Lonchura striata: one gene and its partner. The protein of the gene in region 2 binds, or shares a complex with, the protein of the main gene of each other region. Links are inferred from orthologs where the notes say so. Each region holds a gene or a part of one and is shown on either strand. Other genes may lie near its edges. The genes, in order: PRKAG1 and PRKAA2.

What was found.
Region 1: the proteins of PRKAA2 (region 2) and PRKAG1 are in contact, whole or in part, in a crystal structure (PDB 6B1U), measured with the Homo sapiens proteins. The link is inferred for Lonchura striata from reciprocal best matches to the Homo sapiens genes PRKAA2 and PRKAG1. Residues at the interface, in NP_006243.2 of Homo sapiens: Asp329, Asn330, Ile333, Met334, Ala337, Phe340, Tyr341, Leu342, His366, Pro367, Glu368, Arg369, Met370, Pro371, Pro372, Leu373, Ile374, Asn444, Val446, Thr447, Pro530, Arg531, Leu532, Gly533, Ser534, His535, Thr536, Met537, Asp538, Glu541; in NP_002724.1 of Homo sapiens: His36, Asp40, Leu41, Ile42, Pro43, Thr44, Ser45, Val50, Phe62, Leu64, Val65, Thr66, Gly68, Val69, Arg70, Trp75, Ser77, Lys78, Lys79, Gln80, Phe82, Pro158, Glu159, Ser160, Gly161, Asn162, Lys170, Arg171, Lys174, Phe175.

What each region holds. Positions count from the first base shown.
Region 1 is NC_134629.1:6,052,039-6,063,025, reverse strand, and holds PRKAG1 (5'-AMP-activated protein kinase subunit gamma-1), read right to left. Parts: upstream 3,942-10,987; 5' UTR 3,925-3,941; coding exon 3,919-3,924; intron 3,830-3,918; coding exon 3,745-3,829; intron 2,996-3,744; coding exon 2,892-2,995; intron 2,818-2,891; coding exon 2,736-2,817; intron 2,661-2,735; coding exon 2,602-2,660; intron 2,509-2,601; coding exon 2,463-2,508; intron 2,357-2,462; coding exon 2,302-2,356; intron 2,216-2,301; coding exon of another isoform or gene 2,179-2,215; coding exon 2,089-2,178; intron 1,627-2,088; coding exon 1,424-1,626; intron 1,316-1,423; coding exon 1,278-1,315; intron 1,177-1,277; coding exon 1,030-1,176; intron 940-1,029; coding exon 841-939; 3' UTR 358-840; downstream 1-357. Other genes in the region: KMT2D (histone-lysine N-methyltransferase 2D), read right to left, coding at 7,091-7,183, 7,296-7,404, 7,506-7,579, 8,003-8,288, 8,380-8,510, 8,633-8,769, 9,007-10,177, 10,525-10,661 and 2 more. UniProt on the Homo sapiens protein: AMP/ATP-binding subunit of AMP-activated protein kinase (AMPK), an energy sensor protein kinase that plays a key role in regulating cellular energy metabolism.
Region 2 is NC_134611.1:8,261,148-8,271,272, forward strand, and holds the start of PRKAA2 (5'-AMP-activated protein kinase catalytic subunit alpha-2), read right to left. Parts: upstream 4,420-10,125; 5' UTR 4,375-4,419; coding exon 4,281-4,374; intron 1-4,280. UniProt on the Homo sapiens protein: Catalytic subunit of AMP-activated protein kinase (AMPK), an energy sensor protein kinase that plays a key role in regulating cellular energy metabolism.

The DNA of each region.
Region 1 (10,987 bases), on a different chromosome or scaffold from region 2:
CAGGCCTCGCACCTCCCCTGCGGACACCGGCTGCAAACTCCGGTGTCCCGGCTGCCTGCGACCCCCGCCGGCCCCCCACGGCAGCCGAACATCCAGATCCCCCCTCAACCTCCCCCAGCCCCTGCCTGACTGCCCCCTGCTCACCTTGGTGCCCACCAGAGAGTCCCCATGTCCTGCCAGGTCCCTGTCCCTGTCCCATCCCCAGTCCTGGCCTTTTAGAAAAGCCACAGGCGTAACAAACAGGGATTTAGGGTCTGGGCGAGCTCAGCAGATTCCCCCTTCCCACGGGGTGGTCACACCCCCTCCCACACACCCCGTCCCCGGGCAGTGCTCCCCGTGCCCCACACGGAGCCAGGGTGGTGCCAGGTCTGTGTTTATTCGTGGTTTCTCCTCGCACACGAAGCAGTGGCGGGTGTGGGCACAGCCGGGGGAACCTGGGGGGAAACCCCCGGGGGCGTGGGGGGGTCCCCAGGCCGGGTGGAGCTGAGTGGGTTTCACCAAACCCAGGGAGAGGGTGCAGGGTGACAGGGACGAGAGGCCACACGGGAACAGCCCTGGCATGGCTATGGGTGACCCTGGCCTGGCACCCCACGGGGTTCGAGGGCTGCCCCCAATCACCCTCACGGCTTTGGGGTGCTGGGCACGGCATGGGGGGGGGTCTGCAGGCTCCCCCCACCCAGGGAAGGGCAGCAGGGGCTGCCCCAGGGCTGGGGGTTATTGCTGGATGCTGCTGGTGAGCGGGGGCATTCCCTGGGTGTCCCCAGCAGCCCGGGGGGGGCACAGTGTTACAGAAGAGAGTTGGGGGGGCTTGGGAGGACTGAACCCCCCTCCCTCACTGCCTCAGGGGCCCTGTGGGAGGACCAGGGCTTGCAGGATGTCCGAGAGGGAGACGATCCCTTTAACCACATCACTCTCATCCACCACCACCAGCCGGTGGACCTGGGGAGGGGGAACACAGAGAGGGGCTGAGGGGGTGCAGGGACCCCGGCCTCCACCCACCACGACCCCCCAGCACCCCGGGACAGTTACCTCGGCCTCGACTAGGCGGTTGATGATGGTTTCCAGCGTCTCGTGCTTGTAACACTTGAGGACGCCCTCGAAATAGTGGGAGCGGTGCTGCAGCGCCCGCGTCACCGTCACGTCCAGGTTGTTGTAGGTCTTTTCAGCTGCCAGGTTCTGGGGCAGGGACAAGCATTGGGGACACAGCTGGGGTTAGAACACCCCCAACACCCCACAGCGTCCCCCCCAGCCCGGGATTTTCCCCAAACAGTACTCACAATAACGTCGAATTTAGAGTAGATGTCCACCACGCGCCCTGGGGAGGGAGGGGAGGAGCTCAGCCAAGCCCCCGGCGCTGTGGAGGGGACACGGCCCCCAAAGAGGTCACTTGGGGACAGCCAAAGCGAGGACGGGACGTCCTTACCCGAGTCATCGACCACGGGCAGCGCGGAGACGCGGTGCTGCACGAAGATGCCCAGGGCCACGTAGATGGGGGTGCTGGTGCCAACCACGGCGATGTTGCTGTAGGTGCCGATCCGCAGCTCCTCCAACGTCCGCGCCATGAACTCAGGCTTGGGCACCTCTGCGATCTGCGGGGACAGCGAGGGGACGGCGCTGAGCCCAGGCCTGGGGGTGAAAGCAGAAAGAGCTGGGGTGCAGAGCAGGGGGGGTTGTGGGACCCCCAGGCAGGGGCGGTGGGGAGGGTCCTGGGGGTCCTCTGGCACTGCAGTGTGTGGTACCAGAGCTGTGCCCACCCAGAGCTGGTGGTGGCCGGTGTGCAGGACCTGCACAACCCAGGATGGGGGTTTCAGTGAGCCCTGAAGCAGCCAAAGGTTCTGGGGCAGCTTTTGGCTCAGCCTGAGATGGGGGTCTCAGGGCAGCCCCTGGCACAGGGACCTGGCACTTTGTACAGCCCGGACTGGGAGTCCCAGGGTAGCACAAGGCTCAAGGACCTGGCACAGCCCAGGATGGGGGTCCTGGGGCAACCTCTGGCACAGCCTGGGCTGAGAGGCTCAGGGTGGCCCCTGGTGCAGCGCAGGGTGAACGTCCTGGTCTGGCCCCCACCATCACCAAGGGGCAGAGACTTACAAAGAGCTTGAGGAACTTGAGGATGCGTTTGTGGGTGAGGATGTAGAGCGTGTTCCCCGAGTCGGGGTCGATGACAGGCAGGCGATGGATCTTGTTCCGGATCAGGGAGGAGACGGCGTCAAACAGGCTGTGGGGGGGGAAGGGAGGGGGGATTTGGGGTGTTCCTCGGGGTGCCACCACCAGCTGTGCCCCTCTCCCTGCCCCCCGGGGTACCTGGCATTGGGGGAAATGCAGACCAGTGGCTTGAAGGAGTCTTGCAGATAAACCTCTGTGGGGAGAGGGGTGGGTGAGGGGATGGGGGGGTGGGGCACAGCCCTGGGGGGCTCCGGCTATGCCGGGAAGGGCAGGAGGCAGCCAGCAGTGAACCCCCTCACCTCTCCATGTCTCTATTTTATGTTCCTCCAGCTCATAGATCTGCACCTGTGAGGAGGAGGAGAAACCCAGATCACCCACCCAGGGCCAGGTGGGGCAGGCAGAGCCCGACCTGAGCCCCCGGTAGACCCCAGCACTCACCATGGGGGATTTGTAGTAGCGGTGCAGGATGTTGATGAAGTCGGTGATGGTCAGCATCCCTGGGGGGCAGGCAGGGTGAGGAGAGTCCTGCCAGCCCCCCTCAGCCCCCAGAGACCCCCGGACCCCTCACTCACCTACAAAACTTTGCTTTTTGCTGTCCCAGAGCGGGGCTGCCCGGACACCGTTGGTGACCAGCGCAAAGAACGCCTTCTTCACCTGCAGGCACGGGGGTCAGGGAGCCCCAAAAGTGCCTCCCTGGCCCCAAAAGTGTCCCCCCGGCCCTGGCACACCTGCAGGGATGTGTCGAAGACGACCAGTTTGGAGCTGGTGGGGATCAGGTCGTAGCAGCGATGGGATTTCATGAAGGCGGTGTAGGCACCGCGGTGAGTGTCCCCTGGGGTGGCAGCGTCAGGGGGCACCCCAAAACCTGGAGCACCCCAAAACCCGGGACATCCCCAATTCCGGGACACCCCCAGTCCCAGACTCCCCAAATCCCATGATGCACCAATACCCAGGATACCCCAAATCCCGGGACACCGCAAAGCCTCAAATGCCCCAAGTCCCGTTTCACTCCAAATTCCGGGACATCCAGCTCGGGGCTCTCGGACACCCCTAACTCTGGGACACCCGTAACTCCGGGATATCCCCACTCATGGAGCACCCCAAATCCTTTGGCACCCAGCTCAGGGCTCCGGGACACCCCTAACTCTGGGACACCCCTAACTCCAGGATATCCCCACTCATGGAGCACCCCAAATCCTTTGGCACCCAGCTCAGGGCTCCGGGACACCCCTAACTCGGGGACACCCCTAACTCCGGGATATCCCCACTCATGGGGCATCCCAAATCCTGCCACACCCAGCTTGGGGCTCCGGGACACCCCTAACTCCGGGATATCCCCACTCATGGAGCACCCCAAATCCTTTGGCACCCAGCCCAGGGCTCCGGGACACCCCTAACTCGGGGACACCCCTAACTCCAGGATATCCCCACTCATGGCGCATCCCAAATCTTGCCACACCCAGCTCCGGATGCCCCCCACTCCAGGACAGAACCCCCCAGCAGCTGCAGCCCTTGGGACACCCAAACGACCCCCGGGTCTCCTCCCGCATGCCGGGACCCCCCGGGCTCCCTCGGAATCACCTTCCAGCCCCGGGGCGCTCCGCTCCGCCGGGCTCTCGGCGGCCGGGCCGGGGCCGGGGCCGGGGTCAGGCTCGGGGCCGGGATCCTGCGGACAGACGGGGCCGGGTCAGACGTGGCCGCGGTCCCGGCCGCGATCCCCCGTGTCCCCCCCGGGCCCGCCGTCCCTCCCACAACCTCCATGGGTCCCGCTCCGTCCCGAGGCGCCGCTGCGCCGGTTCCTGTCCCGGTTCCTGCTCCCGCGTTCGCCCGGTTCCTGTCCCGGTTCCTGCTCCCGCTTCCGCCCGGTTCCTGTCCCGGATCGTGCCCCGCTTCCGCCCGGTTCCTGCCCGCGTTCCTGTCCCGCTTCCGCCCGGTTCCTGTCCCGGATCGTGCCCCGCTTCCGCCCGGTTCCTGCCCGCGTTCCTGTCCCGGATCGTGCCCCTCTTCCGCCCGGTTCCTGTCCCCGTTCATGCCCCGCTTCCGCCCGGTTCCTGCCCCAGTTTCCGCCCGGTTCCCGGTCCCGCTTCGGCCCTGTTCCCAGTCCCACCTCCGCCCGGTTCTCGGAACCACTCCGGCTCCGGTCCCGGTTCCGTTCCCGGCCCTGCTGGCACCGCTCGCTGACTCCCGGCCGCCCGGAGCCCTTCCCCTCCCGCCGGGTCACGGGGAAGGTTTTTTTGGGGCTGGGGGGTCTCACACGTGTTTGGGGGTTTGGGGACACGGCGGGACACACCTGGGGATGGCCCGGGGCAGGGGGACACGGACACGGAGCCCCCGGGAAAGGAGCGGGGGTTGTGACAAACGTGGGGGTCCCCGGGACCCCGCAAAGCCTCCAGTACCCCGAGTCCCGTTTCACTCCCAATTCCGGGACACCCAGCTCGGGGGTCCGGGACACCCCTAACTCCGGGATATCCCCACTCATAGAGCACCCCAAATCCTTTGACACCCAGCTTGGGGCTCCAGGAACACCCCTAAATCGGGGACACCCCTGACTCAGAGATATCCCCACTCATGGGGCATCCCAAATCTCGCCACACCCAGCTCAGAGCTCCGGGACACCCCTAACTCCAAGATATCCCCAGTCATGGAGCACCCCAAATCCTGGGACACCCAGCTTGGGGCTCCAGGACACCCCTAACTCCAGGATATCCCCAGTCATGGAGCACCCCAAATCCTGGGACACCCAGCTTGGGGCTCTGGGACACCCCTAACTCCAGGATATCCCCACTCATGGGGCATCCCAAATCCTTTGGCACCCAGCTCCGGGTTCTGGGACACCCCTAACTCCGGGGCACCCCTAACTCCAGGATATCCGGAAAGAAAACCCCGAGTTGCCAGTTGCCAGCTCGGGGTAGCCCAGGGGAGGGTCACTGGTTTTGGGGGGAGGGGGACACGGCGAGGGTGGGTCAGAGACCTTGTGGGGACAGGAAGGAGCAGAGCAGCAGCGAGCTGTCCTCGACCAAGCCCTTGTCACCGCTGTGCCCCCCAGACCCCCACCCCGAGCTCCCCAAGGAGGGATCAGGCGGCCTCGGCTTCTCACGCGCTTTATTTAAAATAACATCCAGTGGTTCCGGTATTGGTAAAAACGGGATTTCTACACGCCCCGGCCTATGTACAGCTCTGAAAGTTAAATTTCTCGTATATTTTCTGTTAAAACTTTCTCATCCCCCCCACTCGCGCTTTTGCTCCATTTTTTTTTCTTTTTTAATTTTCTTTTTTTTAAAGATTTTTTACCTTAAACCTTTTTTTTTTGTTTATTTTGTTTCGGGTTTTTTTTTTGTGTTTTTTTTTTTATTTTTTGCAGCTTTGACGAGTTTGCGGAAGCAGCTTTTCAAGATCGGCCCCGGCCCCCACTGCGCCGGGGCGGGGAGGGGGCACCACCCCCGCCAGACCCCCTCCCCAAACTTCCAGGAGCAGGAGGGTCCCTCTCGCCCTTCCTCCCTTCCCCGCGCCGTGTTTGTGCGTTAGGAGATCCCGGCGCCCCCCGGGGTCCTCCCCCGGAGTGGGGAGGGGCGGGAGGGGACCCCGGGGGGGCCGCAGCCGGCACGGGGTGGGTGGGGGGCCGGGGGTGTTAATGCCCACTCGCTGCTTCGCTCTCCGAGGCCGCCCCTGCCTGGCAGGAGGTTCCAGAGAGACCCCCCCCCTCCCCACCCCCACCTCGGAGACTGGGTTTTAAAAAAAACCCCCCCACAAACATTTTTGCCCCTGCACCCCAAATCTCAGCCCAGCAGAGCACAAAGAGCCCCCCACCCCAGCCCCGTCTAGTATATACAATATAAGGTATAAATAGATAAATAACCTTCCCCCCCAAGTGCAGCCCCAGCCGTGGGGGCCAAGGGTGAGCAGGGGGGGCTCCACCCGGCCCCTCCAGCCGTGGGGGCCACGTGTGGGAAGGAGGGGTCCCCACCCAGCCCCTCCAGCCCCCCACCAGAGCTGGGGGAGCGGGTCTTGCCCCTCGCCCTGCCCCCATCCCCACCTCACACCTTGGCACACGGCTGGGACCTCCTGAGGGGGGGGACAAGGAGGGGGTGTCCCTGTGTCCCCCCTTCAAGGCGTCCTGATGGAGGGCCACAAATGAGGAGGGGGACACGGGGAAGCCACATCCTCTGGAGCCCAAGGGAGAGGGAAAGACCCCCCCCGCTTAGGGGGGGTGGGGGGCAGGTTGGGATGGGGGGGGGGCTCACATTTAAAAACAACAACAAATAAAAAGAAACGAATCTAACACTTAAAATGAGGTAGGTTTGGGTGCAGAAGCTCCTTGTGTCTGTCGGGGTCTTGGCTGCATCCCGCCGCCGCTCCGGGGTCTCGTCCACACGCACAAACAAAAAGAGATCAAAGGAACCGAGCAAGCTCTGGCCGCCACGCCGGCGGGGCAGAGCCCGGATTGTCGAGCTCAAGGAGTCTGTGTTACCTTGGTAATTAGCGAGCAAATATCATTAGTTTCTAAAAAAAAAAAAAAACCAAAAAAAAAAAAAAAAGAAACTTAAAAGGAAAATCAAAAAAAAAAAAAAGAAACCAAAATAAAATAAAATAAAATAATCGTTATATCCAGACCGGCTCTGCACAATCGCTCCGGCCGCGCTGGGCCTGGCGCTGCTCCCCCACAGCTCTCCCACGAGGGAGGCAGGCAGGGGGTGGTGAAGGGGGCGTTTCTGAGCCCCCCCACTCCTTTTTTCTCCTCGCAGGACGAAGCAAAGAAAACCCTGAGTTGCCAGTTCATCTGTCCGTCCGTCCCGCTCGGGCAGGGCCGGCAGCTCCGCGGCCGCTGCTCTCCCTCAGTGCCCGGCCGCCCCTGGCACCTCCTGCAGCCCTGGGGGGCTCGGCGAGGTCTCTGAGGCGGGGGTGGCAGCCCCCAGCCCCTTTTTCCCAGTTAGTTCATCCACTTCCTGCAATTCCAAGCTCCACAGTGGCAGGGGATCTTGTGCTGATCGTCCTCGAAGTCGAACTGGTAGTCGTAGGTGAGCTGGGAGGGAGCGGGGAGTCACCCAAAGCACAGAGCTCAGTTCTGCCACCTCCAGCCCCCCTCCCTGGGACCCCCAGGACCCCCCTCAGCACCCCCTCAGTCCCTCACTGACCTCCTCCCCCTTGGGGATGCGCCGGCTGGAGATGATGATGATCTTGTCCTCCTTGTCGAAGGTCACGACTTCGGCCACACAGTTCGGGGCACACGAGTGGTTGATGTACCTGGGGGACCAGCGGGGTCAGCCCCAACCCGGGGGCAGGACAGACAGACGTCATGGCTTCCTCTGGCGGTATCCCACCACCCCAAAGCCCCCCGTGCTCACCTGGCCGGGCCCCCTGTCAGCGTGGCGTCAATGACGTGCTCGTTGTTGATGCGGAACATGTAAATGCCGCGGTTCTGCCACGGAGGAGAAGAGGGGGTTCAGGGGTGCACTGAGGTCCCCATATCCCATCCGAGTTGATGTCCACCATCCCATGTCCCACTGGAGACCCTCAAATCCCATACGAGTCCCTCCACATCCCACCTGAGTCGCTCCATGTCCTACCAGAGCTTCCAACAACCCACCCGAGACCGTCCATGTCCCACCAGAACCCTTGATATCCCTCCACATTCTGAGTCCCCTCATGTCCTGCCAGAGCCTTCAACATCTCACCCAAGGCCACCCACATCCCACTCAAGGCCCCAGCTTCTCATCTGACTCCCCCATTTCCTTCTCAAAGTCCCTCCATGTCCCACCAGAGCCCACAATGTCCCACCCAAGTCTCTCCACACCTTGCCCAAGTCCCCACACAAGCCCCCAGAACCCCAGCAGAGCCTCACCTGCTCCTCGTAGATCTTCTCCCGCCGGTTGGCCACCTCGTTGCGGATGATGGTGCCGATGTACTCGATGACCATCGTGTGCTTCTCGATGTCCTTGGCTGCGTAGAGCCCCAGCCCCTGGATGCGGGACCGTGCCAGGTACACGTTGTTCTTCCACTCCGTCTTCAGGCGCCGGTACTGGGAGGACTTGGAGTGCACAAACTGCTTGCTGTAGGGCGTGTTGGTCTCGCCCGTGAACGTGCTCTGGTAGGCCTTGGACATGCTTGTGCTGTTCAGGGTGTGGGGCCTTTCACGGGAGGGGGAGAAGGGTTAGAGTTGAGAGATGCCCAGGGATCCCAGCTCCCCTGGTGGGTCCGGTGAATTCCGACCCCACTTACCGCTTGTAGTGGGTGAGGATCTTGGGCTCGGAGCGGGCGCAGCCGGTGGGATTGATCATCAAGGGCAGCTCCATCAGAGGATGGCGCCCGTAGCGGAACAGGTAGTTCTGGCAGCTCTCGACACCCGGCAGCTGCAGAGGGGGACGTGGAAGGACCGGAGGTCAAGAGGCAGCAGCAAGAGCCACTGGGCCCTTCCCCAGCAGGGTGGACCCCAGGATGGAGGAGACACCTCCACACCCACCCTGGCACCTACCGACTCAGCGATGCGCAGCACTGCGTGCACCGTGAGGCCGAAGAGCTCCTCACCCTTCAGGTACTCGGGGAAGAGTCGCAGCATGTCAGCCTCCTTCCTCATCATCGCTACTGGCTCGATGATCCGGTTCCAGACAGCTGCCAAGGGAAGGGAGAACCACAGAATTAATTAGGCTGGAAAAGACCTCCAAGATCATTGAGCCCAAGTGACCGATCACCACCTTGTCACCAGAGCAGAGCTCCGAGTGCCATGAGCTGAAGATGGGGACCCAGGGGGAGCCTCAAGCCACCTTCCATGCCCCACCCTCTGGTGTGCTCTGGCGTGGCTCAGCCACTGGGACAAAGGTTGGACGCTGGCATATCCCAACTCCTCACCTTGAGGCGAGGAGTCAGAGAAGACAAGATCCTCCAGGCCCTGCTCGATGACCTGCACGACGAACTCGGGGCGCCCGTTGTTCTCGCAGATGGTGCAGCGGTAGCAGCAGCGGCGGTTGTTGGTCCGCAGGCTCCAGTAGATGCGCGTGGCCTCGTAGCCCACAGGGTAGAGGGCCGTGACGCTGTGGAAATCGGCCATCTGGTGTGGCAGGAGCTGCCCGATGGCGTGGAAGACCAAGCCGCCCACACGGAACATGTGGAGCCGCTCCCCACGCTGGATGATGCTGGCGATCTGCTTCACCTCGTCCCGCTCGATGTAGACGCGGCGGAACACGGTGAAGCTGCTGAGCTCCTGCTCGCAGGGCCCCTTCAGCTTGTGCAGGGGACACAGCATGGTCTTGTCCTTGAAGAACATGCACTTGGCGCGGATGGCGCAGGCGAAGTGGTACACGCTGGGGCAGCGGATGCGGTTGCAGCTGTTGGTGGCACCGGTTTTCTGGCACAGGGAGCACTTGGTGAGCAGCCCACGGTGCAGGGCCACCTCCACGTTGATCAGGGCCCCTCCCTGAGTCTCATACACCTCCGTGGACCACAGGGCACAGTTCAGGTGGACCCAGAGGTCGAGGTCAAGGTTGAGTAGGCGGGCCGGCCCGTCCGTGGCCCCGTCGCCCTCCTCGTGACAGAAGCAGCACTTGCGCATGTCCTGCGGCACCTTCTCGGGGCGCAGTGTGGTTCCCAGCTTGTCGATGAACTCGGCGATCTCCTTGTCGCCGTCACGCTTGGCTCCCCCTTTCTGGATGGTGACGAGGAAGCGCAGCCGTTTCCAGCGCACCCCCTTCCACTTCTTCAGCCGTGGCCTCGCCTCGTCCCCGTCCTCCAGAGGCCGAGATCGCGGCTTGAAACGGGGCGGCGAGTGGACGGCCGCAGCCCCCTCCTCCTGGGGGGCTGGCGAGGGGGCCGGTGGCAGTGGTGACAATGGGACTGGGGCTGCCTCGTGGGACGCCTCAGGGTCGGGGACCCTGGTGGGCTCAGCGGGGCTGGACGGGGAGGGAACGGAGGGGGACAGCGGGGGCGAGGGCTCCTGGGGCAGGACAGAGAGCTGCCGCACATCCAGGTTGGAGACGTTGTTGACGTAGCAGTGGTGAAGGGTCTTCTCAGGAGCAGGGCTCTCCTGCGGCACGGGGAGGGGACACGGGTCAGAGCGTTGGAGGGATGGAGACCCCCCCCAACCTCCTTGAGCATCGCAGGGAGGGGTCCTTGGCCCAGCAGGGACATCAGCATGCCACATGGCCCGAGTCCTGCAAGGACCTCCTGGACTCCTTCCTGCAAGACCCAGCACCAGCCCATGGGGAGACCTGAACCCCCAGGAAACGCCGTGCAGTCATGGGGTGACCCACAGGGACCACCACACACACAGAGTCCCTGCTCCTGTACCCCCACACAGCCACAGCCCTGTGGGTACCCCAAAACCCCCTCCCAGTCTACCAGCACCGCAGGGACCCCTGCACGCCCACTGACCTGTCTGAGCAGCGTCAGGAGGTCCAGCTCGCCCTTGAGGCTGTACCCTGGCAGCACCGCATCGAACTGCTTCAGCCACTCAGAGCTGCTGTCCGGCACCTTCCCAGCCAGCGCCTTCTCCTTCCCTCCGAGCATTCCTGGGAGAGGGATGGACCATCCGTCATGGGGGTCCCAGTCTGGGGACACGGGGGGCCACGGGGACAAGGTGAACACTCACCAGCCATATCGGTCTCCACCTTCTTGGCCTCAACCACAGCTGCTCGCACAGGGCCGTCGGGGAACAGCACCTCATAGGAGCTGGGGATCTTCATGCTCAGCAGCTCGGCCATGGCCACCATCACCCCATTGAGGTTCTAGGTGAGAGGAAGGCAGGATGGGTCCAGGGTGTCACAGGTGTCACTGTGTTGGGTCACTGCTGGGACCTCAAGGGTCTTGAATCTCCCCATCCCCTCACTCACCTTGG
Region 2 (10,125 bases):
CTCCTTCCCTCTCACTGCCTCCCCAGGTTCAAAAAGTGGAGACTCTTGACATTTACTCATTTTTATAAAAGAAAAAAAAAAAAAAAAAAAAAAAAGAGGAGGAATAGTGATTATAGCACCATGAGCAGAGATAATAATTAAAACCCCTTGACAGCAAAGCTTTTTACAGCACTTTTTTTATCCTACCAGCTCAGGCAGCAGAAGCAGTTAACATTTTTGCAAATGCTTCAGGGCAATATAGAAGCTTATGGAGGGGTGAGGAAACTCCTTCCCTATCAGCTCTGCTGGCCCTTATCTCAGCCCAAAGTTAAAAATAAAATCCACCCAAAACATATATTTAGCAATGCTGTATTAATTCTGCCCCGGTGCCACTTGCTTGTGCTGTCTCAGCCTCTCCCTGCTCTTCCTCTGCTCAGCCTCCTTTACTTTATCTTCCCTCTGACACCAAGTTTGTCTTGGAGCAGCAATGCTACAGTGCCTGGGAAAAATGGGATCTGATCCTGGAGCCCGTGGAGGTGACACAAACACATCCCAAGTCCTCGAGGGACCACAGATGTGTCACTTTTGGGCAAACAAGCCAGGCAAAGGAGCCACCAAGGCACCCAGGGATGCTGGGGGTGGCATCACACACAGAAAATATCTGGGTTACTCTGCTGGATTTTGATTTAAGCTCTTTGGGCTGCACCAACTGTGAACCTTGTTGTGGTCACAGAGAGCTTTTGGGGACCCACAGGGTGGGACATGCCCACAGCAAACACAATTTGTCTCATCTCTTCTTGCCAACCCCCAGGGAAGGAGATGCCAACTCCTTCCTCCAAGGTTTTGCTAAACTCCCGAATCCAAGATCTTCTCCACAGTTTTATTTCGGCAAATTATTCTGATTTTCTGCAAATTAGAAATTGTTTTTTCTGCGAATAATCCTGTTTTCTGCAATTTATCTTTGGCCTGGAGGTCAGGGAAAATAACTGTATTTGGTAAAAATGCTGTGTGGTAACTTCAAGTCTTGACATGACACCTCCTGTCCATCCACCACATCAGCTCCTGCCACCTTCCTCTCTTCTAAGAGATGCTGTGTCCTCGTCCCCACTTCCAGATGGAATTTAAATATTAGCACCAAAACCCTGCCCTTATCTGCCAACCTCATTGCTCCCCTCCGTGCCTTGCGTGGATTTTCTGTAAATGACATCAAGAAACTGAATGGGCTTAAAAAAAAACCAATTTCTTGCAGTGTTCAGCCAGTTTTTAGGAGCATCAGTTCCCCCATGACCCAGGCAGTCAGGGACTTTTTCTGTCTGGCTCCTGATGGCTCAGAATGACTACTGAGCTCCAGCCACGAGTTCAAGCTCTGGTTTGTACCCCATGTCACTAAATCCTCCCTTTCATTGCCATTTCTTATTTCCCTAATAACAATAATCCTGAACAGTTGTAAATTATGATTTCTTAACTTCAACAAGTAAGGCAGCAAAAAGCACCAAAACCAAAACCTCTTGTGCGAGGCAGAATTTGAAGAAAACACATCAGCAACAAGAGATGTCATTGATGGCTCCTGATTTCTCCCTGAAAAAGCAATTATTATACCCAACACACAATGCTTGAATCAATCAACAAAAACCTCTGCTTTTCTCATGTGAATAAAAGTTTTTCTAAAGCTCATTCTAGTAAAATGCTGTAATTTTATATAAATGGGACACTCCATTTCTTCATTTTGGTTCCCAGTCTCAAGCACAAACTTTATCTGTCAGTTGTAGGCAAAATATTAAGGGAAAAAAAACATATAAAGGGTACTGCTCACCTATAAAGGATTTTGAGCTAGAAAATCTCTTTCATGTCACTTGAAATATTTCTTTGGAAAATGTCCGTTTTTACCACATTCAGGTCATATGTGGGGTAGGGGGTATTTGTGCTAGTTAAGGGGAAAAAAGGCTATTGTTGGCAGGTTTAAATTGGTCTGCAAGGAAAAAACCTGCCTTTGGAGCAGTTTTGATGTCTGCTAGTACACACAAGTGATTTAAATGGTCCTTACTGTTAGAAGTATTTATTCTGATAATTCTTTAGACAGTAAATTTGTGGTTTGGGATTAAACACAGCAATATATATTTTAGGGACATGATTAATGGCCACAGGTGGACTTAGCTGCAGTGGTTGTAGTGGTTTCTTTCATCTGCTGTCCATTTGGGTTTATTTTAAAGCTCCAGAAACTGAGGGCAGGCACAGCACCCCTTTGCCCAGCCACATCCCAGTGGGGTGGGGGGACACGGCATGGGACAGCTGCTCCCCCAGCTCGACCTAAACCCATTTCCTAGTGGAAAACACAGCTTAGACACTGAATTCTGTTGGTTTTCTGAGTTTTTTAGTATCTCGTTTAAAAAATGAAATTTGCACGTAATGGCAGAATCCACAGGGAAAGAAGAAATACAAATATTTGCAAACCTCACAGCCAGGTTAAGCAAAGCCTTCAGGATGTGAGCTGGCTGCTCTGGCATGACTGGCCAAGGAATCCCTGTGTGGAGCCCCAGCCTGACACAAGCCCCTCATCCTGCAATCCTGGAAGGGTTTGGGATGGAAGAGACCTTAAAGTTCATCTCATCCCTCCTTCTGCCATGGGCAGGGACACCTCCCACTATCCCAGCTTGCTCCAAGCCCTTTCCAACCTGGCCTTGGACACTTCCAGGGATGGGGCAGCCACAGCTTCTCTGGGAACAATTTCTCCCCAATATTCCATCTAACCCTGCCCTCTGTCAGCACGAATCCATTCCCTGTCACCCCACCGCTCCACGCCCGGCCAGAAATCCCTCTCAGCCCTGCTGCAGCCCCTCTAGGCACTGCAAGGTGCTCTCAGGTCGCTTTGGAGCCTTCCCTCGCCCGGGTGAAGGCACAGCTGGCTCATCCCTGCCCGCCCGACCCCTCCATCCCCGCGGGGGATGCTCAGCTCCGCGGGGGGATGCTGGGATCCGCAGGGGGATGCTCAGCTCCGCGGGGGGATGCTCAGCTCCGCGGGGGGATGCTCAGCTCCGCGGGGCGATGCTGGGCTCCCCGGGGGGATGCTCAGCTCTGCGGGGGGATGCTGGGCTCCCCGGGGGGATGCTCAGCTCTGCGGGGGGATGCTGGGCTCCCCGGGGGGATGCTCAGCTCTGCGGGGGGATGCTGGGCTCCCCGGGGGGATGCTCAGCTCTGCGGGGGGATGCTGGGCTCCCCGGGGGGATGCTCAGCTCCGCGGGGGGATGCTGGAATCCGCGGGGGGATGCTCAGCTCTGCGGGGGGATGCTGGGATCCGCGGGGGGATGCTCAGCTCCGCGGGGGGATGCTGGGATCCGCGGGGGGATGCTCAGCTCCGCGGGGGGATGCTGGAATCCGCAGGGGCGATGCTCGGCGGGGCGGCAGCACCAAGCGCCTCCGCCGCCGGCTCCAGGAGCACCCCGGAGCACGGCAGCCCCTCGGGAAGCACGGCGGGGAGCGGCGCATTCCCGGCACGGAGGGGCAGGATGCCGGAGCGCGCTCCAGCCTCCCCATCACCTCCGTGAAGTTTTGGTGGGTGCCGCTCGCAGCGCGGGCTCCCGGGGATGTGACAGCCCGGAGCAGCGAGGGGAGAGCGCTGCATCTCTCCCTGCAGCCGCCCGCCAGCGCCGCATCCCCGCCGCGGGCAGCCCGTGTGCCGCCGAGGGAAGGAAGAGGAAACGAGGGAAGGAAGAGGAGCCCAGGGAAGGGAGCGCAGCCCGGGGAAGGGAGCACAGCCCAGGGAAAGGAGCGCAGCCCGGGGAAGGCAGCACAGCCCAGGGAAGGAAGAGGAGCCCAGGGAAGGGAGCGCAGCCCGGGGAAGGCAGCACAGCCCAGGGAAGGGAGCGCAGCCCGGGGAAGGCAGCACAGCCCAGGGAAGGAAGAGGAGCCCAGGGAAGGGAGCGCAGCCCGGGGAAGGCAGCACAGCCCAGGGAAAGGAGCGCAGCCCGGGGAAGGCAGCACAGCCCAGGGAAAGGAGCGCAGCCCGGGGAAGGCAGCACAGCCCGGGGAAAGGAGCGCAGCCCGGGGAAGGGAGCACAGCCCGGGGAAGGGAGCACAGCCCGGGGAAGGGAGCGCAGCCCAGCGAAGGGAGCACAGCCCGGGGAAGGCAGCACAGCCCGGGGAAAGGAGCACAGCCCGGGGAAGGCAGCACAGCCCAGGGAAAGGAGCGCAGCCCGGGGAAGGGAGGCGATGCCGCGCGGAGGCCGCGGGAGCGGGAGGAGGGAGGCGGCGGCGAGGGGCGCACCCGGCCCGGCCCGGCCCCGCCCGCGGCCGCGGTACTCAGCTCTTGACTTTGCCGAAGGTGCCGACCCCCAGCGTGTCCCCCAGCACGTAGTGGCCGATCTTCACCCGCCCATCGTGCTTCTGCTTCTCGGCCATGTTCGCCCCCCGCCGCCGGACCACAATGCACAGGGCCGGGCCGGCGGGGCGGGGAGCGCGGCGAGCGGAGCGAGCGGAGCGGAGCGGGCCCGGCCGGCGGGGGCGGGGAGCGCCAGGTGCGGGCGGGGACACCGGGAGCCGGGACACCGGGACACCGGGACACCGGGACACCGGGAGCCGGGACACCGGGAGCCGGGACACCGGGACACCGGGAGCCGGGACACCGGGACACCGGGAGCCGGGACACCGGGAGCCGGGACACCGGGACACCGGGAGCCCGGACACCGGGACACAGGGACACCGGGAGCCGGGACACCGGGACACCGGCCGGGCGCTCCCCGGGGCGGCACCTGCCGCCGGGACGGCCTGCGCGGGTGGCGCTGCTCGGGGGTGCGTGCTCTGTTGCCGCGCACCTGCCGGCCGGGACGTGGCATCCTTTCAGAGGCACCTGCCGGGGTGACACCCTCCCCGAGTGACACTCTACTCGGGGTGCGCTCTCTATTGTCACCCACCTGCCGGAGGTGACATTCTTTCAGAGAGGCACCTGCCGCGGGTGATATGGCATCCTTTTAGAGAGGCATCTGCCCCAAGTGACACTGTTCAGAGGGTACATTCTCTATTGTCACACACCTGCTGGGGGTGACATGGCATCCTTTTAGACAGGCATCTGCCCCAAGTGAAACTGTTCAGAGGGTACATTCTCTATTGTCACACACCTGCCGGGGGTGACATGGTATCCTTTCAGAGAGGCATCTGTCGTGGGTGACACCCTTCCCGAGTGACATTGTTTGAGGGGTACATTCTCTATTGCCAAGCACTTGCTGGGCGTGATATGGCATCCTTTTAGAGAGGCATCTGCCGGGGGTGACACCCTTCCCAAGTGACATTGTTTGCGGGGTACATTCTCTGTTGTCACACACCTGCCGGGGGTGGCATGGCATCCTTTTAGACAGGCATCTGCCCCAAGTGACACTGTTCAGAGGGTACATTCTCTATTGCCGTGCACCTGCCAGGGGTGACATGGCATCCTTTTAGAGAGGCACCTGCCACGTGTGACATCCTTTCAGAGAGGCATCTGCCAGGGGTGACACTCTTCCCGGAGTGACACTGTTTGGGGGGTACATTCTCTATTGTCGTGCACCTGCCTGGGGGTGACATCCTTTCAGAGTGGCACCTGCCTGGGGGTGACACCCGCCCCCAAGTGACACTGTACTTGGGGTACATTCTCTATTGCCACGCACCTGCCAGGGGTGACACCCCTTTGGAGCAGCATCTGCCACAAGGGACATCATTCTCTCTGGTGGCACTGTCCTCCGTGTGCACCTTCAGTTTCCATGCACCTGCCTGGGAGTGACAGCTTCTGCTTGGGGACCACCCTCCCTGCGTGCAGTGACACCCTCCCTGGGGTGGTGCCACCCTTGGGCTGCTCCCTCCTTGGGGTACACCTGCCTGCTGTGGGGACATGCACACCCTCCTTGTGCTGTGCCTGGCTTGTGTGGCACACGTCAGAGAGGTGCTGGTGGCACTCTCCTTGGAGTGACAGCCACCTGAGGGTCACAGTGTCCTCGGGGTGCGCCCTTCTCTGCTGTGAGGGATGCCACACCTGCCCAGGGATGTGCCCATCAGAGGGTGGCACTGTCCTTGGGGTATGGCCTGCTTTTGGTGCTGCTTCCTTGGGTGGGTCCCTCCTTCTGGTGACACTGTTCACCAGCCAGGGGAGCTGCTTTGGGCCCCGAGGGCACGTCCCCACAGGAGGGATGCTGGCTGTGAGGGGCAGGGCTCCAAATGCACCCTCTGAGGCTCAGCTGTGCCTTGGGCTGGGAGACAAAGTGCACTTAAGGGACACTTTCAGCCATAATTCCAGAATATTTAATAGTGAAAGCAGGATGTTCTCCCTCCTGTGTATAACAGAAACTTTGCCTGGACCACATGGATTGTTTACATTTAAAAAAAAAAAAAAAAAAAAGAAAAAGAAAAAGGATGGATGCTTCTGCCAAAAAAGGCAGCATGACTGAACACCAAAATCGGCACCTAGCATATCTGGAAAGTGGTCCTGCCACATTTTAATAGTGTTAATTTGTAGCTCTTTGTTTCTCATTCAGCTGCAAGAAGTAGCAGAAGGCAGTCACAAATGCAGTCTGAGCTCCAAGGTAATAAAGGGCTGTTTGGGAAGCTGGAGCAGTGTGTGTAAACACAGGGTCCCCGATAAAATAATGACCAGCCTATGCAACTGTGCTATCATAAATAATACAACAGCAACTTAATTCAAGAAATCCAATAACATAAATAACTAAAATAGCAAGCTGGGGGTAGAAGAGGAAGGTTGCTGTAACACAAAACCGTTTGTAGGATAATGAAACCGTCTCTGTTCAACCAGAACAATTGATGTACGTGAAGGCATAAGAGAAACAGGGTTCACAAAGAGTAAACTCTGGATAAGATACAATGCTGCAATCTCCTGGAATGCCTGAGAAAGCTCTGCCTTCTTCAGGCAGCTGCAAAGTTGTCAGCCCGTGCAAGTCTCTACTCTGCAAGCTCTGGGCAGCTCTGCTCTGTCTTTGGGGTTTGTTTGATCTCCCCTTCCAGCCCTGGCAAGCCCTGGCTCTGCCTGAATGCAACACCACACAAAGTGGTGTGAACTCGAGTGGTGTTTGTTTAATAGCTAAACTAATATGTTTAACAAGAGCTGCTGCATGGAGATGCACTGTCCTACTTGTTTCCTGAAAGCTGAAAAAGAGATTTTTTACTAAATCTCAGAGCAAGCTGATGCCGTGAGTGTTTCCACTGCCTCTTGACACACAGAGGCTGTCTATTAGAAACATCGGATTAATATTAATCAGGTTTTTAACTTACAGGATGTATTTTGGGGCCTTAAGGTTTGCAGGAGACTCACAGAAAGGCCTTTGCTTGGCAGCAAGGATGTCCCAAGGTGGGTCAGTGCCTTCCACTCTCTGCAGTGTTGGTGAGAGCTGAGAGCAGAGCCCGGGATGCTCCTGGAAAGCAGTGCCAGGGCTCAGGCTTGAGAAGGTTTGCTTAATTTCCCTCTGGCTTTTGAGAACCTCCATATATGCGTGTGTATCTGTACCAGGGGTTCCTCATTTGCAGACACGGGGGAAGGGAGCTGTGCCTGCAGGCAGGAGCTGAAGGGTCTCAGGAAAAGGCTGGGTGGGGCGTGTTGCTAGGAGATGGAGACTCCAGTGTCTGGCAAAGTGACGTTTTTATTTTTGGTGCAGATCACACAAAATGGTATTTGACTGTGAAGCAGGCTAGAAATCTCCTCTCCCTGCTTACATTCATCTCTGAAGGATCTGTTTTGTGTAGTAGCGTTGCAGCTCATTTAAAACACAAATCAAATGTAGACTGCATAGTGATCAGTCCAGCTGGAGGCTGGGTGTTTGCAGTCTCAGAGAATCTTTTCTTTTCCTATTTTCTTTTTGCCTGCTCATCGAGAAATCCCTTGTCTGAGCAGCAGGATACATGTCTCTCTTTAGGGGAGAGCATCCTCACATGCCTTCGGTTCCTTTGTGGCCAGTTGTCTCTTGTTTTTTCAGACACTGCGAGTAAGCAGTCGGGTTTTCTGGGTTTGGGCTTATTAAATACATCCTGCCAGGGCTTGTCCTCTCCTGCTTTGCTGACTGTGCCTCGTTTCACCCCAGTGCCAGCCAGGAGCCCCCCATCCCAGCTGTCTGCACGTCCACCCTCCTCACAGACAGGGACTGTGCCATGGCACAGGGAAAGCTGCCATGGAATACCTGGCCCTTCCCTCTCCCTGCTCTGCTGCCAGGCTGCATTTACAGGAGAAAATAGGTCTGAGTGCTAAAATGTGGGGTTTTTTTGCACCCTTCTGTGGGATGCAGGAGTCCTGGGAGAAACACGGGTGGGTCCCTGCAGCTCCCACAGAGTCTTTGGCTCACGCTCACGTTTGGTGGTGTTCCTCTCAGGCTCCAAACTGCTTTCACTGGATATTCAAAGGGAATGTTTTTGGAAATGCAGGGCTGAGCAGCAGGATGCTGAAGAGCACCAAGGAAAAGCTGGGTGCTGCCTGTTGCAACACATGCCTTCAGTCACCATCGTGAGCCTTCAGAAGGGTTTGCAGCTGAGCATCTCCAGTTGTGTCCAGCCTCCCCCCTCAGCAGCTTGCCCCTGCCACCACATCTGGGTGCTGTATTTTTCCACTTCAATGTGACCAAAAAAAATGCCAGGGATGCTGTGCATCTGTTAACACAAAAGCTCAACTTCTGGGGCATGCTATCCAACCCTTCTAAGTGCCCTAAATCTGTGGATTTTCAGTAGGATTTGCATTTCCAGTCTGTTTTGGGAGGAGATAGTTAATGAGATAATGCAGCAGTGGGTAAACTGTGACACGTAAAATTGGATTTTTTGAATGTTGGAGAAACTGCATGCATCAGAGGCAGCTTATGCACGTTAGATTTGTAACCAAGCAATTCCCATTTATATTATGTAAGTGATGCAATTTATCAAACCCCATGTAGCAGGCAAGAGCAGATGTTGAACCATTTGTGCTACAGTGTTGGAAATTAACTTTTCTAGAGGTGATTAAAATTATTGGTTATTCAAATACAATCTTGTGAGTGTAATATAATGGAACAACAAACAGCATTATTCAAAACATGTAATTGGTGTGGAACCAGAAACTATTAGGGCCTCTTGTTGGTGTTTGGTGAAAATCTGTGTGGCCATATGTGATGCTCTGGTGGGGATGTGAGCTGAAAACTCTGTATGAGAGTGGAGAAGGAGGCTGGAATTTCTTGCATTGAAAATAGAACATTTTAAGCATGCACATGATAAACACCCATTTCTTGAGGAGGCTGCTGAGGAGACACTGCCTGCCTGTGCAGGCACTGGGTGCACAACACTCCAACCAGCAGCAAGAGAAAGATATTATTTCTGAGAGGATTACTCCTACATGAGAATGAGACTTCTGGATAAAATTTTATTAAGGGCACAAATGAGTAATTGGATTTCTCAACCCATTAGAATGTAACAGTAATGAATTCCTCCTATCTTTTTATATGCCCTGTGATTAGTGTGATGGTTTGGTTGGGGGTTATTTTTCAAGCAGATAGTTGTGGTTGGGCTCTATGATCCTAGAGATCTTTTCCAACTTTAAAATTTCTAAGATTCTCTGTGCATTAATCCCTTTTGTGCAATCCTGCAATCAACCTTTTAGGCTTCATCCACAAATATGAAAACCACTATGGGGTGTGAAGTGAGCTATATGAAAAGGTCAGGGTGTATTTTTTTATATTCATACTGTTTCACAAGTTGTGGGCAGTATAGTTCCTACAGAAACTTTGTAGCCTCAGCAGCAAATTCTGGAAGACAACTTTTAGCTGGGTGAACACAAAATCAGTGACTGTGGGCTGCTTGTAGTAGCATTTTTTTCCAGTGGCTTGACAAGTATGTTTTCTTTTAGGGCATAATCTGTGAGATAATCCCAGCTCCACTGGGAAAGCACTTGCTGCTGAGGAGGAGTTTGAAGTTTATCCTCACCCTTCACGTTGCACCCATGAGCTTCTATTCCAGGGACAGACTGAGGAAGAGTTTAGGTCTGTACAGCAGATCCAGCCTTTTTTGACCTTGATATGAAATGCTGTTTAAAGATCTGTGACCTTGCAGCCTCAGTCCACTATTTCCTTGCCCCATCTGAAGGATTTTCTGTATCAAACAGGGAGGAACAGCATGTTCTCCACGTCCACAATGGCCAGGACAAGAATAGGGCTAAAATTA